Cricetulus griseus: one gene and its partner. The protein of the gene in region 1 interacts with the protein of each later gene in a pairwise test. Links are inferred from orthologs where the notes say so. Each region holds a gene or a part of one and is shown on either strand. Other genes may lie near its edges. The genes, in order: Atf5 and Trib3.

Region 1 (8,765 bases):
TCTATGTACTGGAGGAAATGGTCACGTACACAGACATGCGTCCATCTTCTAGCCAGTCAGAATGTTCAAGTATGGTGGGACAGGAAGGGAAGCTACACCAGACCCGGAGCTCCTAGAGAAGATTTCCTACAGCTACACCCTTAGTCTACACGCCCTAGCAGTACAGTGTGTGCTGAAGACTCATCTCCCTGTACCACAGAGATGGGCAGCCACTTTGCAAACAATCTAGAAGTGCCTTGAGGTCAGTTTCTTTCAACAAGGCACCATGCCTTTGTTCTACAACACAAGCTTGCCTTGCACATGTATCCCCAGGGCAGTAACATTGTTCATTTGTAAGGTAGGTCCTTAGTTAGGAAAATGAGCCAGATCCGATGCCATATGCATTCCAATTGGTAAGTCAACTGACAGGCCGATGCTCACCCTATTCTGCAGACAAAAACCAAGATAAGCAGGCCCCATAAAGCCCAAGCCTTTTCTATCACATAGGGCTGTTCCCTCAAATGGGAAACCAGGGCTTGCTGCAATAGTACAGGTGATGAGGGAGGCAGCTGGATGGATAAGAACAAAGATACATAGAAAGTATCGAAATGAAACCTCTCTCTTTGCATACTAACAAAAAAAAAAGAAAAAAAGAAAAAGCAAAGAAAACACAGATCTGATAAAGCATGTCTCCACTAGGGCAGGCTGGTATGGATAGCATCTAGCAACTGAAGCAAAGAACAAACCTAGATAATGGTCTGGGTTTGAGGACTTATGGGACCCTGATAGGGTGGAGAACCCTGCTCTATCAGGGAGCCATGAACAATTCTCTTTCCCTTTCCAGACTTCAGTCTTGTCTTCAATAACCAAGCTACAAGCCAGTAGGATGCCAGACCCCTTCTAAGCACAAAGCCCCAGATTCTCTGGGTTCTGCCCAGGCATGCCCCTCCAAGGACCCCTCCCCACTGCTGCCCTGGGACCTCCTCCTACCCAGGGCTTTGTTACCCAGGAGCTGTTGCCAGGTGCTCTGTGGCCCCCTGAGAATTCCCTCACCCTTTCCTACCCATCAGAGTCAAGGCTGATGCAACTGCCTGCAACCAGCCGCCTCACTCCTCAGCTCAGGCCCCTCCGCACTAGCAAAGAGTTCCAAGCAGCTCCACCCTTGCTCCTGGCTCCCCATAGGACGCTGTTTTTTTGAGAGGAGGTGAGGCTGCCATTTAAGTCTGAGTAAGGGTCAGGGATAGAGAGAATAACACGCATGACGGACACATGAAAACACAGACCCACATGTGTACTGGACAAGGCTCAGGGTCCAAAGATGTAAGGTGGCAGGCCTCCATGGTTGATGACCCGCCATAAAGCGACGATGCACAAATGCTGAGAAGGGCATGGTAACTAACTATGGAAAGCAGCACCCATTCAGCATGACTGAGTCAAGATGGAGGGGCTGTAGCTGGGTGGGACCCTGGGACAGAAAAAGGGAGTGCAGACCCACAGCTGCACCATGGGGAAAACTATGAGCCTGGTACTCCACCCTGGACTGTCTTTGCAACCTTTCTGATTATTCCAAAAGTTTACTTCAAAATACCAAATTAACTGGGTGGTGCTGGTATACCTTTAATCCCAGAACTCAGGAGGCAGACCTCTGTTTGAGGGACCCTGGTCTACAGACTAAGTTCCAAGACAGCCAGCGCTACACAGAGAAGTCCTGTCTCAAAACAAAAACAAAAATAGGGGCTGGAGAGATGGTTTAGCAGTTAAGAGCACTGGCTGCTGTTCCAGTTCACACCAATGCACATAAAATGAATTTTAATAAATTATTTAAAAAACAAAGAAATAAAAAAATAAAAGCCAAATTCGAGGGAAGGAGCAGCATGGGCACTGCACCACAGTACACTGTCTCAAAAATAAAACATCTATGGGAAAGAAACCAGAGATACTGTTTAAGTGGTAGAACGCTTGCCTAGCATGTATGAAGCCCTTGGGTCAATCCAGAATTACCTACAAAGGGTATGGTGGTACACATCTGTCATCTCAGCACTTGTGAGGTAAAGGCAAGAAGACTCACTCCTGCAAGTCCATCCTCAGCTACACAGCCAAGTTCAAGGCAAGCCTGGAATGAGGAGACTCTCAAAAACAAACACATAAACACATACCCCTCTATGGGGTGGAGATGTAGCTTCAATAGCCTATTTAATACAAGGCATCCAAATGCGATCCCTAATACATACCAGAAAGAAAGAAAGAAAGAAAGAAAAAGAAAGAAAGAAAGAAAAAGGAAGGAAGGAAGGAAGGAAGGAAGGACGGACGGACGGACGAACCCGTGGACAACCAGTGATATTCTGAAGGCACACCAGTGAACACAGAACACATCCATCCACTTCTGTATTAATAGCAGTCTTTATGTAGAGACTACTGTGTCTGTGATAAGATAGCTTAAGCACACCCCACACAGACTTAATACAGCTGGACAAGTGAGGACACTGGCAGAGGACAGAAGAGTGCCCACTCCAAGGGAAGGTGGTCAGGTCCCAAGGACTTCCTTCTAGTAACTTTCAAAATCAGTTTCCCCCACCTGCTCTGAATATGGCATTTTTCCTTTGACAATAGCAGGGGCTGGAACCCAGAACCTCAAAAGCAGTACTCTACCATGGACCCACAACCCCAACCCATTATTATTTTTATTTTTTGAAAATCAGGGTCTTGGTAAGTTCCCTAGACAGACTTTCTAGCCCAGGCAAGCCTTGAACCTTTTTTTTTTTTTTTTTTTTAATTACACTCTTATTCGACAAGTGTTGGTGGTACATGCCTTTAGTCCCAGCACTCAGGAGGCAGAGGCAGGCAGATCTCTGTGAATTCGAGACCAGCCTGGGCTACAAGAGCTAGTTCCAGGACAGCCTCCAAATCCACAGAGAATCCCTGTCTCCAGAAACAAAACAACAACAACAAAAAAATACACTCCTTTTCAGTAACACAGACATGTCACCACTCAAGTGTGGTGGAAGTCAGCCAACAACTTTCTGGCGTTGCTTCTCCTGGGATAACTCAGACTGTCAAGTCTAGAGACCACCACTCAGCACTCAGGCCCTGACCTTGACTTCCAATACTCCTGCTGGCCTGGCTTTTGAATCTTTTCTTAAAAACACATCGAGGCCAGCCAGGATAACCTTGAATTCATGATCCCTTCTGCTTCCACCTCCCAAATACTGGCATTATAGGTATGCACCAACCCCAGTTTATGTGGTGCTGGGGCAGAACTCAAGGTTCTTGAGTGAAATAGGCAGGCATTCTACCGAGTTCCATCTCCAACTCTTAATTTGGGTCTTGATTTAGTCTCTCAGCTGTATCAGGCAGGCTGACTTCCAGACGGAATGTCCAGACATGGATGGCCACGGGTGGGAAATGAGATTCATGCATCAGCCTAGGGAAGGACCATGGGGCTTCTTTGACTAAATGGAATATAAACATCCAATTTCAGACAAGGCCAGGAGAAAATTATCTAGTGAGGTCAGCAAGAGACCAAGGACTGAAAGGAAGTCAGGGAAAGGGGCAAAACAATGAACCACCTGGTAAGAGAGCTAAGAGGTCGTCGCAGGGGCAGAGCACCAGCCTGTAGAATGAGGAAAATGAAGATGCCCACAAACAAAAACCTTGGAAGGTAGGCCACACAGTGTGATCACACGGACATGCTGGATGGTTAAGGGCCCGGGTGGAGAGATTCAAATAGGTGAAACGATTCGGTGGGTAAAGTCTGTCAAACATGACAACCCGAGTTCCAACTCTGGGATCCACATGGTGGTAAAACAAAACAAAACAAAACAAAACTTCTCAAAGTTGTCCTCTAACCGCCACACACACACACACAATAAAGGTTTAAAAAGTGTTAACTAGGAGCCCTGTGATTAGGACTTCGTGGCCTACCTCCCATAGCTACTCTATTTGTGCGTTTATACACATTTGGGGGGCATTTTCCTGCTGCTGCTGCTGCTTTAATTCGCTTAAAATCGCTAAGCTAGCTTGAAATCGCCATCCCACGATGGGCCGACCCACGAGGGCTCACAGGAGGCGACGTCGGTTGGGACCGGTGGCGCATTCGTGAAGCATTCGTGAGCTAGCGAATCAGGAGAGCGAGTGCTGAGGGTCCGGGCGACATGGCGGGCCCAGGGTCGCCTCCGCCCCGTCGGGACCACGCGGGGGCGGGGCGGGGCGCGGAGGGATCCGGGAGGCCCGCGCTGCGCCGCCCCCGGTATATTTGTCCCCAGGCCCCGGGGCCGCCTCATTCTCCACCTTCTCAGAACCATTTCTCCTAACGCTCCCGCCACGCCGCCTCCGCCCGCCCAGCCCCCGCCATGGCTCTGTAGCCGTGATCCTGTGGTGCCCCCGGCCCGGCTTCCGCGCTCACCGCGCCTGCACTCTCCGCTCCCGCCGTCTGTTCAGCCGAGGCCGCCGTCGCCGCCTCTCCTTTCCGCAGCCATGGAGTGAGTAACCGCTCGCCCCTCCCTCTCCAACCGCCTTTCCCGCCCTTTCCCAGAGCTCGCGGGGCTTCACGGACCAGCCGCGTGGGGGTGGGGAGACGGGGAGCCAGGAACCGCGGCCGCGCAGGCGCAGAGAGGGACAATGGTGGCCGGTGGGTCCGCTGGGCATGCGCGCTGGGCTCGAGCCGTGGAGGAGGGTATGCTTCCGGAGGGTTGGGGGTGGTGGTTTAAAGACGGCTCGCTCGCCTTCGCTCCCGCACGCTGCTTCCCAGTGCCTCTCCCTCCCTCCCTCCCTCCCTTCTCCCAGGATGCGACCCACACCCCGTGGCGCACGCGCACTAACCTACCCGAGGCCGGAACTACGAAGGGCAGCTCTAGCGGCGTTACAATGGCCCGCTTTCAGGGTGCGAGCATGCGCTTTGACGCAGAAAGGAAGGGTGGGGTTTAAGTCAGGCCGATTCCTTGAGGCGCTGACTCAGGCCCCGCTTCCCTCCAATCAGGCACCTGCTGGGGCGGGGAATGCTTAGATTGACAGGGAAGACAAGGTTTAGGAACGTCTTTAAGGAGGTGGAGCTAGCACCGCAGGGGCGGGGCCTCTGGGACTTGCTAGTTGAGGGCGGGAACCGAGGTAGACAGGCAAGTGGGCGGGGCTTCTTGTAGAGTCTGTGGAAGTCGCCTAAATTTTTTTCTATTTTTTTGATTTAAATTAGAAACAAGATTATTTTACATGTCAATCCCAGTTCCCTCTCCCTCCCCGTCACCTAAAAATTTAAGGGAAGAGTGGGATTTGAGTGTGTGACACTGATGAAGGGCCCAGGCATGGCAGAATCCCTCTGGGAATCCCTGTGGGTCGGTGGACTCTAAAGGGTGTAAACTAAAGGGAATATTGATGTGGAAGGGGCATGGCTAGAAGACAATTCCCTTGGGATTCAGATTTTTATGAAGAGGGGCTGGAGGTGATTCCCCTAGGGAAACAATAGGTTTCTGTGTTGAGGGAGGAAATGGGGCTTGTGAGTTCAAGAATTCTCTTGGGAATGTGTGGAGCTCTGGAATTTGGGGAGAGAAGTGAAGTGTGAGGGGCCTGTAGGTCAAGCAGCTTTTAACCCAACCCAACCCCACCCCCTTTTGTCTCCTTCACAGGTCCTCCATCTTTGTCTTGCTGCCTGTTGTCACCCAGCTGAACAATCTCCCAAGCTGCCTCCCCACTATTGGTGCAGCCTCCATCCGTGCCCTGCGCCTGTGTCTCAGCCATGTCACTCCTGGCGACCCTGGGGCTGGAACTGGACAGGGCCCTGCTCCCAGCTAGCGGGCTGGGCTGGCTCGTAGACTATGGGAAACTCCCCCTGGCCCCTGCCCCCCTGGGCCCCTATGAGGTCCTTGGGGGAGCCCTGGAGGGCGGGCTTCCAGGGGGGGGAGAGCCCCTGGCAGGTAAGAACAGGTAGAGAGCAGAGGTGGGTTGAGCTTGAGGCAGGGAGGGAGGGCAAGAAAAGGAAGAATGTATTCATTCCCAAGATGAGTACTGAGGGCCTCAGCTCTGTTCTGGGTGTTCAGGGTTCAGAGCAAAGGGTCCCTAAGCTCATGGAACATTAGGGAACAGCTGTTGAACTGAAAGTGATGAAAGACCTAGTTGAGAAGTCACATAACCTCCAAGTAGACAGACATATGAACTGGGGGCTAGGGGATGAGAAGAAAGGAGCCATGATAAGGCCTGAGGTGCTTCCATCTAAGAGACTCTAGGGCAGACATCATTCTCTCTTAACTATAACAGCAATTGCAGCAATAATAAGTAGCTGGCCCTGGTGGCACATACCTATAGTTCCCCCTTTCAAGAGGCTTCTCATCCTCTTGAGCCCATGAGTTTCAGGCCAATCTAGGCTTCTCAAAAACAGAAAACAAGAATGAATAAAGATGGAATGTGAGAGACAGAGAGCAAGAAAGAGAGATCCAGAGAGAGTGAGAGAGTGTGTGTGTGTGTGTGTGTGTGTGTGTGTGTGTGTGATCTTAGCACCCTGGGGGAGAGGAAGAACCATCTAAAGTTAAGACTGCCCTCAGCTATGTTCAGGGCCAACCTAGACTACATGAGACCTTGTCTCAAATAAATAAATGAGTAAACGAGAGAAAACATAGGTATAGGGGTATAGTCAACCAGCCCTACAGATAAGACAATGGTTTCAGAAGTAGTAGCTGACTTGAGTGGATCATTAGTTGGTTGACTGCTTCACTAAGTGGTTAGCCTATTATTCCATTGCTTAGTTGGTAAATTAATTGGTTGGTTGACTGACTTGACTCATTGATTGGCTTGTTCACTGATTGGTTAGTGAGTTGATTAGTTTATTAACAAGTCTGGTGAACTGTTTGATTGGCTGATTGGTTGGTTGACTGGTGAACTCTGGTTCATTGCTCACTTCAGTGGGTTACTTGGTTGGCTACTGAACTGTATGGTTGGCTGATTGGTTAGTTGCCTCATTCATTGTTAGTGGATCAGTTTGTTGATTGATTGGTGAAGTATGGTTGGCTGATTGATTGTCTGACTTTTTCATTGATTAATGAATTGGTTGGTTGGTTGATTGGTTGGATGGTTTGTTACATGACTGACTGGTTTGTTGGTTGCCTGATTCATTGGGTAGTAGGTTGGTTGGTTGGCTGATAGATTCTATGGTTCACTCATTTGTTAGTTAATTCATTGGTTCGTGTCTTGGTGGGTACACTAATTGGTCTGTTGACTGCTTGAATAGTTAGTGGGTGGGTGGGTTGGTTGGTTGCCTGGTTCATTGGTTTCTTCCCTGACTTACTGGTCTGCTGACAGGTCTATAAATTCAATGGCTGGCTGGTCACTTTTTACATTGAGTGAGTGGGACATGAGTGAGCACCAAATGGGTAAAGAACAGACCTCAGGAGCCTTTTATGTCCCCCCTCCATCCTCAGGTGATGGCTTCTCTGATTGGATGACAGAGCGAGTTGACTTCACGGCCCTCCTCCCTCTGGAGGCCCCTCTGCCGCCAGGCACCCTCCCCCCACCCTCTCCAGCCCCCCCTGACCTGGAAGCCATGGCTTCCCTGCTCAAGAAGGAGCTAGAACAGATGGAAGACTTCTTCCTTGATGCCCCACTCCTCCCACCACCCTCCCCACCACCACCAGCATCCTCCCTGCCCCTGTCCTTGCCCCTGCCCACCTTTGACCTTCCTCAGCCCCCTGCTCTGGATACCCTGGACCTGCTGGCTGTCTACTGCCGAAGTGAGGCTGGGCCAGGGGATGCAGGCTTGGCAACCCTGCCTGCCCCCCAGCAGCCTCCTCCTTCTCTGGCCCCTCTGCCTTCACCCTCTCGCCCAGCCCCCTATCCTAGTCCTGCCATCACCAGAGGTGACCGCAAGCAGAAGAAGAGAGATCAGAATAAGTCAGCAGCTCTCAGGTACCGCCAGAGGAAGCGGGCAGAGGGCGAGGCCCTGGAGGGCGAGTGCCAGGGGCTAGAGGCACGGAACCGTGAGCTGAGGGAGAGGGCAGAGTCGGTGGAGCGGGAGATCCAGTACGTGAAGGACCTGCTAATCGAGGTGTACAAGGCCCGCAGCCAGAGGACCCGAAGCACCTAGGGTACATGCAGGTCCAGGCTGGAAGAGGGAGGTCTGTCATCCCTCTGCCCCCAGCTTCACTCCTACCCTCCATCCCACTCTTCTATCTCATCCATGTCTGGATTTCCCTACCTACTCCCCCTATGGTTATTTGGTTTAGTCAGTTTCTGTACCCTTTCAATGCAACTGAGGAACCAAGGCCCTCAGGGAATTTGAGAATACAGCCTGAACCCTGGTTTCTGGAGTCTAAAACAAGTGTGTTTTTGCAGGTAGTCCTAGTTGGGTTCGGGGGACTGTCAGGTCTGGCATGGAGGTAAGGCAGGAAGCCACTCAGGGTAACTGCTGATGAGAACCTAGTCAGGGAGGGAGGGCTTTAAGGAGGGGACATAGGACACACATGAGAAGTCAGCCAACGGAAGGGAGTCAAGTCCTCAGTACAGGAGAGATGTTAGCCAAGAGAGAAGGGTGGCTGTAGTTGGTAACTAGGGGCCATTTAGCTTTGGGAGAGAATCAGTGTTTGGTGAAGGTGTTAGGGAGGGATTGCATCTAGTGGGGGCTGATCCTCCAGGGGTTATGGGCACAAATAAAATGCAGAATTTCCTGTGGTCTGTGTGTCATATCTTGGAGAGGGGACGCTGGGGAGAGGGAGTCTCAGGGCACTCATAAAGACAACTGAGAATGAACCAAAGAGCTGGAACTGAAGCTCCACAATATGGGCCCAACATAAGAGAAGTTTAGTGTGATG
Region 2 (8,645 bases), about 130 Mb from region 1:
GAATTGGTGCACCCATCTCTGTGCTCTAAACTGACACCCTGTGTGACCTTATGCCTCAGAGAACTGAAACCAAATAGAAAATCCCTCCTGGGGGCAGACCACCACCAAAGCCCCCCTCACAGCCGGCTCAGTAACCTTTCTGCAGCCCCTGCTCAGCTGATAGGACTCAGCATTGCCCTGTTTGTGTGATGTCCATGGTGCAGCACAAGCAAGCCCAGAGATCACGTCTTTCAAAGGAACCAAGAAAGAAGCTAGAATCCAGAATACTTTGTTTTTCAGTCTTGGAAATCAAAGCCAGGACCATTCTTTGCTAGGCAAGTGTGAGCTAATATTTTGGAAGGGAACACTTATTTTAGAAAGTTCTGGCCTGCCATGGTGGCATGCACCTTTAATCTCAGCACTTGAGAGGCAGAGGTAGGTGGATCTCTGTGAGTTTCAGGCCAGCCTGATCTACAAAGTCCCAGGCTTGCCAGAACTACACAGTGAGATTGTGTCCAACGTGTGACCCCAGGATTCAGAAGGGACCTGAATAATCCAAATACCTTGGGGACCAGGAAAGTTTCATTAAGAAATATCTGGAGGTACAAACCTCCGGTTCAGCTCCGGCCTACAATTGTATTGCAGATTCGAGCTAATCTGTTGAATGACATTTGGCCTCAGTGGTGAATGTCCCCTAGTTTGCATCTCTACATAACTAAGCATTTGAATAGGCCTGCACCTGGGCAGAAGGCTAGGTGTGTAAGTAAGGGCAGAGAGTTAGGAGCCATCTAGCAGAGAGATCAACTGAAGGAGATAGAAATGGCCTCGTGGCCTTGGAAGCATGGTTAGATAACAGACAGGAAGATGTCCAATAAACAAGAGACTCTAGTTTTACAACATGGAACTGAGAGCTCTCTAAAGATGACAAGATGCCTGTGTTTGGTCTTTATTGCCATTGGGTTGCTAGGAGTTTCCAAGTCTACTCTTCCAAGTCCACTCAGGCCGAACCTCAAGTCTACCGTGGCTTGGGGCTGAGACATGCCGGGCTATGCCACAAATACAGCCATGGGAAAAACTTCCCAAATTGGGGGCATTTGGGAAATGCATTCAGAGTTTGTGGACATTAAGCACTTGAAGGAACCGGCTTCCTTTTGGCAGCCATAACAGCCGAACACGTGCTTGCCATAAACCTGCCTTGGTCACTTAGAGGTCAGATGCCTGTCTCGTGACAAGGAACCTTAGTCACTTAGAGGTCAGATGCCTGTCTTGTGACAAGGAACCAATCAGAAGTTAGCTGGTGGCGCTATGCTTTACGACCCTGGGTGTGCTTTACGGACAAGCGCACGACAATGACGTAGAGAGCATAGCAACCACCCTGGGAGGGCCTATGGGCCATAACAACCAGTTGACCAATCAACACAGGGCAAGCCCTCCAAGCCTGGAGGCACACCAATCATGAGCCTGTGCGTACCCCTAGACACTCCCCTTACGCTGCCCTATAAGATCTTTTGGGAGACCCAAGGAGCCGTCTTTTCTCGCCATCCGCCATGGCGGGTGGGTGAAAGACCCGAGCTAACATGGGGTTAGTTCGTTAAATTACAATAAAGCCTCATGCAGTTTGCATCAAGCTTTCGCCTCCATTCTGTGTTTGGGGTGGCCGCCGTCCTGGGCTAAGATTCTGGAAGCCTCAGCTTTCTGAGGGTCTAACACACTCACCCGGAAGGTGGGTCCAGTATTATGGAGAATGGAACCGAAGTTCGGGGAAAGGGGGGTGACTTGTGGGAAGCCACACTGGACCCTGTTAGAAGCTGGCTATTGCAGAGCTGATATAGCACTTTGTTGCTTTTGACTGTAATATAGTTATTCTATGAAAACGTCAAATGTGATCATTAATATAAGGCGAGAGGCTGGAGAGATGAGTCAATCAGTGGTTAAGAGCACTGATTGCTCTTCTAGAGGACCCAGGTTTGATCCCCAGCACCCACATGGTAGCTCACAACTGTCTTTGTTTTGTTTTGTTTTGTTTTTCAAGACAAAGTTTCTCTATGTAACAGTCCAAGCTGGCCTTGAATTCATTGAAATCTGCCTGCCTCCTGAGTGTGTGACCAGTGCCCGGCTCACAATTGTCTCTTAACCCCAGTTCCAGGGGCTCTGGACATACACCAAGCAAAATACCCATATACATAAAACAATAAATTTTTAAAAAGCTACGGCAACATGGAGGAAATAAATGTACATACTACTTTTTCTTTCTCCTCCAAAGCCTGGCCCTGCCTAGTATCATCTTTGTACCTCTTTATTTTTTTAGAGAGGGGGTAAGCTTTTTGAGACATCTTTCTATGCCTCCCTGGCTGTCCTGGAACTCACTATGTAGACTAGGCTGGCCGCCCACTCACAGAGATACACTTGCCTTTGCCTCCTAAGTGTCAGGATTATAGGTGTCGCTACAGTGGGCCCTCCTCCCCATGCCTCCTTCAACTTCTGACAGGCACTGTCCTTTGTCGTCTGGAAGCCCCGCCCCCCCAGACTTCCCCTGCACTCCCACATGTCTGCCTCCTTCTCTCTCAGCTTCTGGCTCCCCACTGGCACCAGCTTTATTCCCATGATGCTCATCATTGCCTGTTCTCATCTGGTGTGTGCACCTGTGCAAGCCAGAGGAAAACCTTAGGTGCCATGCAATTTCTTTCTTGAAGTTTATTTTCAATCCTGTGTGCCTGTCTGTCTGTGTATGAATGTATGTGTGTACATGAGTGCAGATGCCTGAGGAGGCCAGGGTTTCCCTGGAGCTGGAGTTGTATAGGTGGTGGTGACTTGCCTCAAGTGGATGCTAGGAACAGAACTTGGGTCTCTGCAAGTTACAAACACTCTAAGCCACTAAACCATGTCTCTAGCTCTTTTATTCATTCTCTCTCCTCTCTGAGATAGAATCTCTCACTGACCGCGGAACTGACTCACTAAATAGGTTAGCTGGCTGACCAGTGAGCTCTGGAGGTCTGCCTGTCTTCACTTTCTCAGTGCAGGATTACAAGTATGCTTTCTCTTTCCCCCATCTCCTCCTCTCTCTCTCTCTCTCTCTCCCTCCCTCCCTCCCTCCCTCTCTCTCTCCCCCACCATGCAGATTCCGAGGCTCACCAGCTGTTTATATCATCTCTCCATGACTCTCACTAGAATGTCAGTTTGATAGCAGGAGCATTGGGACTAAGTTTTTTTTTTATTTTTGAAACAGACTCTCAGTATGTACCTCAGGCTATCCTGAAATTTGAGGCAATCCTCCTGTCTCAACCTCTCCAGTGCGCTGGGATTTCAGGCATGTACCACCACACCCTGCTTGGGTCTGGTTTTTGGCCATAGCTGGTGCACTGCTGGTGCACTGCTTGAATGATGTCCTATGAAGTTTTGTCAGTTGAGAAGCCCAGTGATAATCTGCAAAACCAGAACCCTGCAATCCTCTGGGTCCCAGTCCTTTTGCAGGGTCCTGGGATGCTAGGGGGAGGGTCCACAGATCATACCTTGCAGGTGTACTGTGTGCCTGTGGGGCAGTGCAGGGCCCGGTAGGTGTGGCTGCCTTGCTCTTGTTCCAAGAGGACATAAGGTCCCAGTCGGGTTGCAGGGGCCACAGCAGGTGACAAGTCTGAGGCAGGAGGTGGACTCGGGGACAGCAGGAAGCAGGGTGGCCCAGGTTCGGGTCCTCTCGCTCGTTTTAGGACTGTACTTTCGGCATCAATGTTGCCATCGAACTCCAACGGTTTCTTCCGGCAGGGGACACCAGCAGAAGCAACCAGAGGGGTGGCTCGCATCTAGAGAGATGGGAAGAAAGACTGTTTGGTAACCCCTGTTTTACCTGCTAGGACCCTCTCGCAGAGAATCATCACCCTGGGTTTTCCGAAGCTCCCGAGCCACGGCGTTCTCAAACTTAGTAATAATTCAGTAAGGAAAGCTGGGCATACTGGCACATCCATGCACTGCCAGCGTCGGGGAGGCAGAGGCAGGGGGATGGCTAGTTCCTGGCCGGCCTGGGATGCATAATGACTGCAACCGCTTAGTCCCAGGGCGCTCCCAGCCTTCGGAGTTAGAGAGCGAGAAAGCGAGAGTGAGAGAGAACGAAAGAGAGAGTCCGGAGAGAATATGCACACGAATATTCATAAATATGTTCGGACTTCCAACATCCTTGCCAGACTCGGGGAAACAACCCCGCCGCCCCCCATTTGCGGCTCCCCACCCGGTACCTTGTCCTAGGGTTCCTCACGGGTCTCAGAGCCGCCTGCCTGCGCCCGTGCACCGCAGCCCGCTTCACCCAGACGATCTCGGGGTCCCCAGCACGTTCGTGCCAGACCTCAGCCTCCGCGGATTCAGCAGTAGCGGCTTCCGCTGCTAAAATGCTTCGGCATGGGGACCCGGGCTCTCATCCCCGCCTGGCTGATGTAAACCTGAGCTAATCTCCAGCTGACGCCCTGCGGTTTTGGATTGCACCATCCACGACCCGCCCCTGTAGCCGAGCGAGCGTGCTCCGCCTGCGCCTTCGGGCCACTCGCCCCCCACCCCCGCTTAGCCCCCTGAAGTAGTACCCAGAACCACCAACTCTCCTTACCGTAGTTCTTTACACCTATTTCCCCATATATGAGATGGGAATGAGATCCTAGTGAAAAACAAAAAACAAACGGAGGCTGTTTAAAAATCGCGTGCCACCCTACTAAGCCCCGAACTTGACCTGGGCAAGAAGTCCCACGTTCTGAATGCTGGGAACCTCCCCTCCAAAATAACCCTATCAAGTGCTCACCCCGCTCTGCTCAGACTCGTGTTGCAGCTCAGAAAAGCCACTTAGCGCCCTGGCTGACTGGGGGTGTGGCTCTGTGAGAGCACTTGCCTACCACGCTTAAGTTCCTGCTCTGTAACAAAGCCAAAAACAACCAAAGAAAAGGTAGCGTCAGTTCCCTTCTCCATAAACAGAGGATTTGGAACGGTGCTCTCTTCGTATAGTTGCTGTGAGCCGTAGTAAGTTCGTGAATGCAAAACGCTTAGATGAGCTGGGTGTGATGCACACCTGGAACCTCAGTTACTCGAAAGCCTGAGTCAGGAGGATGGTCAGTTTGCCCGTGTAGCTCTAACTTGCTTGGAACTCACTCTGTAGACCAGGCTGATCTCGAACCCATAGAGATGCCCCTGTCATGAAAAACAACAACAAAAAATTGTGGCTGGGGAGATGGCTCACAGGTTAAGAGCACTGGCTGCTCTTCCAGGTTCAATTCCCGGCACTCACATGGCAGCTCACACCTGTCTGTAACTCTAGTTCCAGGAGATCCAGCAGACATACACACAGGCAAAACACCAATGAACACAAAATAATAAAAATAAAATAACAAAATAAACAACAACAAAACAAAACGTAGAGAAGTATGTGGGATACCAAGGCACTCAGTAACTAGGATGCTGCCCTGGACACTGGAGGTGGACGGATCGAACAAGAGTCCAGCCACAGCTGAAGCTAGACATGGTAGTGACACCTGCCTCCATTCTGCCACCCTGGCAAAGCCCCAAAGGCCCAGTGCTCCTGTCATACTAACTTATGTCTTTATACTTGAGTTCATCCATATCAAAAAAAAGGGGGGAAAAATTCCTCCAGAAAGAGCTAGAGGGAGGCAGGACCAAGACACCTTTGCTTCTCTAGTTCTGGAAGCCAGGGAACCAGCTCTCTTGTGTCTCCCTCTCCCAAATCCGAATACAGCAGAGGATTCTGGGATCTAATTTGCTTCTGCCCACCCGGCCGCTGGGGAGGGATAAATGAACTTATTTTCAGCACCCAAGACAGGTGGAAGACCCCAGAGCTGTGGGAGACAAACGGTGGGGGTTGTTTTCTGTGTACCCACCAGCATCAGGCCTGAGCTAGGTATGCTTGGCATTGCTCACTGCTTGCCCTTCTTCAAATGCTGTGGACCCAAGGTAACTACACTGACCACTCTGCCTCACAGATCTTATTAATAGAAAAATAAGAATAAGAATAACCACAGTAATTTGAAGTAGATCACAGTGCTGGGCGGTGGTGGCTCACACCTTTAGTCCTACCACTCAGGAGGGAGAGGCAGGTGGTCTCTGAGTTAGAGGTCTGCCTGGTCTACCGAGTGAGTTCCAGGACAACTAAGGCTACACAGAAAAACCCTCTCTCAAAAAAAAAAAAAAAGAAAAAAAAGAAAAAGAAAAAGAAAAAGAAAAGAAAAGAAAACACAAAACAAAAAGCCCAACAAATTTTTCAAGATTCGGTAATTGCCAGGATAATCCCAGCAGTAGTTCAAATTCATCTTCTGCTGTATTGCAAGTTTGAGGCAACACAGACCCTGTCTCAAAAAACTTTAAACTTTTTTTTATTTTTAGTTGTTGGGTTTTTTGGGGTTTTTTTGTTTTGTTTTTCAAGACAGGATTTCTCTCTGTAGCTTTGGAGCCTGTCCTGGAACTCATCTGTAAACCAGGCTGGTCTTGAGCTCATAGAGATCCGCCTGCCTCTGCTTCCTGAGTGCTGGGATTAAAAAGAAATTCACTTTATTTGCCTACTGTTTTTAGTATAGCCTGAACATGTTATCTCAACAAAATTGCCAATAGCATTAAACACTCTCAGAATCTGTTTTTTTTTTTTTTAACTTTCGTTTTATATTTTATATGGTTTGGGTTTTGTTGTTGTTTCATTGAGACAGATTTATATAGCAGAAGTTGGCCTTGGATTTCTAATCCTCCTGCCTATTTCCCCAATGCTCTGATGACAAGTGTGTGTGTCAATGTCAATTTACTGTGGTGCTAGGGACTGGGCATACTAAGTAAGCACTGTGTCAGCCTCCATCTTTTCCCCCATTCCTCCTCTCCTCCAGCTCCCCTCACTACCCCCTCCTCCCATCTGCTCCTCAGAGAGGGTGAGGCCTCTCCTAAGAAGTCTACTAAGTCTGTCCCATCATCTCGTTGAGGCAGGACCAAGGCACCTCTCCACCCCCACACCCCTGTGTCTAGGCTGGGCATGGTATTGAGATAGGATCTCATGCAGCCTACTCGGGCTTCAGATTCACAGTGCTGCTGTGGCTGGCCTGGAACTCTTGGCCCTCCCGCCTTCTTGCATGCTGAGATTACAGGTGCATGCCACCACATTTGGCCTGATTCAAAGGTCTCATTGTGTAATTAGGCTGGTGTCTAACTCTCTGGAGTGCTGAGATTACAGGCATAGGGCAGCACCCCCAGCTCTCTAGTGCGTGTTTTACATTTCTTTTGAATCCAGAGGATCGTGGGAACTAAACTATTAATGGTTCAGCCAGGTATGGTGGCCCGTGCCTGTAATCCCAGGCCTTAGGAGACTGAGACAGGAGGATTGACATAAATTCAGCCTAGGCTATCGAGTGAGTCCTTACCTCCACAAACAAAACAAATGTGGGCTGGCAAGATAGCTCAGCGTGTAAAAGGTGCCTGTCACCAAGGCTGACCACGTGAGTCGGATCCTCAAAACCCACGTGATGAAAAAGAAACCTGTTATCTGACTTCCTCAGCAAACTGTGGCCCACAAATTCCCACACACATATGCACAGAGAAGAAATCTATAAATGTATAGCATACAAGAAAACTAATGAGTTTACTGAGAAAATAAAAATTGGAAGAGAAGGTTGGTATAGGTTAGTGTATTCTCCCATACTGGCACAGTGTCACTGTGTGGGAAAACTAACTCACTGCAGAAGCGTGGCATCTCCTCCCATGTGAGACTCTCGCTCCCCCAGTGCCTTGGGGAGGAAGTCTTACTTCAGAGTTTCTCTGTGTTTCACACCTCTCTCTGAAGAACTGGAGAGCAAAACTGTGACTCTGAGGCTTCAGTCAGAGCTGGATTGAGCTGGGATTGCATAATCTTGTTTTGTTCTGCTGGCATTTATGGTGACCTCTTCCTCCATCAGTTTTTGGGGTTTTGTTTTCTGTAGTGCTGGAGGCCAAGCTGAGGCCTTTTGCGTGTTAGACAGAGGCTCAGTGATTTTTTTTTTCATATTTTGAGATAGAATTTTTTCTTATTTTTATTTTTTATTAATTTATTTTTTACATTCCAATCCCAGTTTCCCCTTCCTCCTCTCCTCCCGCTCTCCCCATTCCCCCCTCCTCCCATCTGCTCCACAGAGAGGGTAAGGCCTCTCCTAAGAAGTCTACTAAGTCTGTCCCAAGGGCTCTTCACTAACCACAGGAGGCTACATCTAGGCAAGAACCTGCCAGTGAGCTTCATGCCTGGTCCTCTCCTTTTCCTACATTAAAAAAAAAAAAATATGAGACACCATCTCACTGAATTATCTACACTGGCCCCTAGCTCAACTGCACAGACAAAGTCAACCTTGAATGTGCTATTCTTCTGCCTCAGCTTCTGGAGTAGATAGGATTATAGACATATGCACAACGCCTAGCTTAAAATGGACATTTATTATTTTTTATGATTATATTCGGTTTTTCTAGACAGATTCTCTGCATAGCGTTGGCCATCCTGGAACTCGATCTGTAGACCAGGCTGGCCTCCAATTCACAGAGATCAGCCTGCCTCTGCCTCCAGAGTGCTGGGATGAAAGGCATGTGCCAGCATGCCTGGCTCATTTTAGTACATCTTCTCCCTTTCTCCGGGGTCTCCTGTGCCATTCCCACAGATCTGTCATCACCCACAGCCTTCACAG

Evidence for each region.
Region 2: the proteins of Atf5 (region 1) and Trib3 interact in a two-hybrid assay, tested with the Homo sapiens proteins (2 studies listed by BioGRID and IntAct). The link is inferred for Cricetulus griseus from reciprocal best matches to the Homo sapiens genes ATF5 and TRIB3.

Annotation. Positions count from the first base shown.
Region 1 is NC_048599.1:153,650,082-153,658,846, reverse strand, and holds Atf5 (cyclic AMP-dependent transcription factor ATF-5), read left to right. Parts: upstream 1-4,319; 5' UTR 4,320-4,381; coding exon of another isoform or gene 4,382-4,623; exon of another isoform or gene 4,624-4,738; intron 4,739-4,801; exon of another isoform or gene 4,802-4,858; intron 4,859-5,594; 5' UTR 5,595-5,704; coding exon 5,705-5,882; intron 5,883-7,379; coding exon 7,380-8,041; 3' UTR 8,042-8,625; downstream 8,626-8,765. Other genes in the region: Il4i1 (L-amino-acid oxidase), read right to left, coding at 4,382-4,623.
Region 2 is NC_048599.1:27,707,457-27,716,101, reverse strand, and holds the start of Trib3 (tribbles homolog 3), read right to left. Parts: upstream 4,828-8,645; 5' UTR 4,757-4,827; intron 4,616-4,756; 5' UTR 4,568-4,615; intron 4,396-4,567; exon of another isoform or gene 4,206-4,395; intron 3,777-4,205; coding exon 3,489-3,776; intron 1-3,488. UniProt on the Homo sapiens protein: Inactive protein kinase which acts as a regulator of the integrated stress response (ISR), a process for adaptation to various stress. Inhibits the transcriptional activity of DDIT3/CHOP and is involved in DDIT3/CHOP-dependent cell death during ER stress.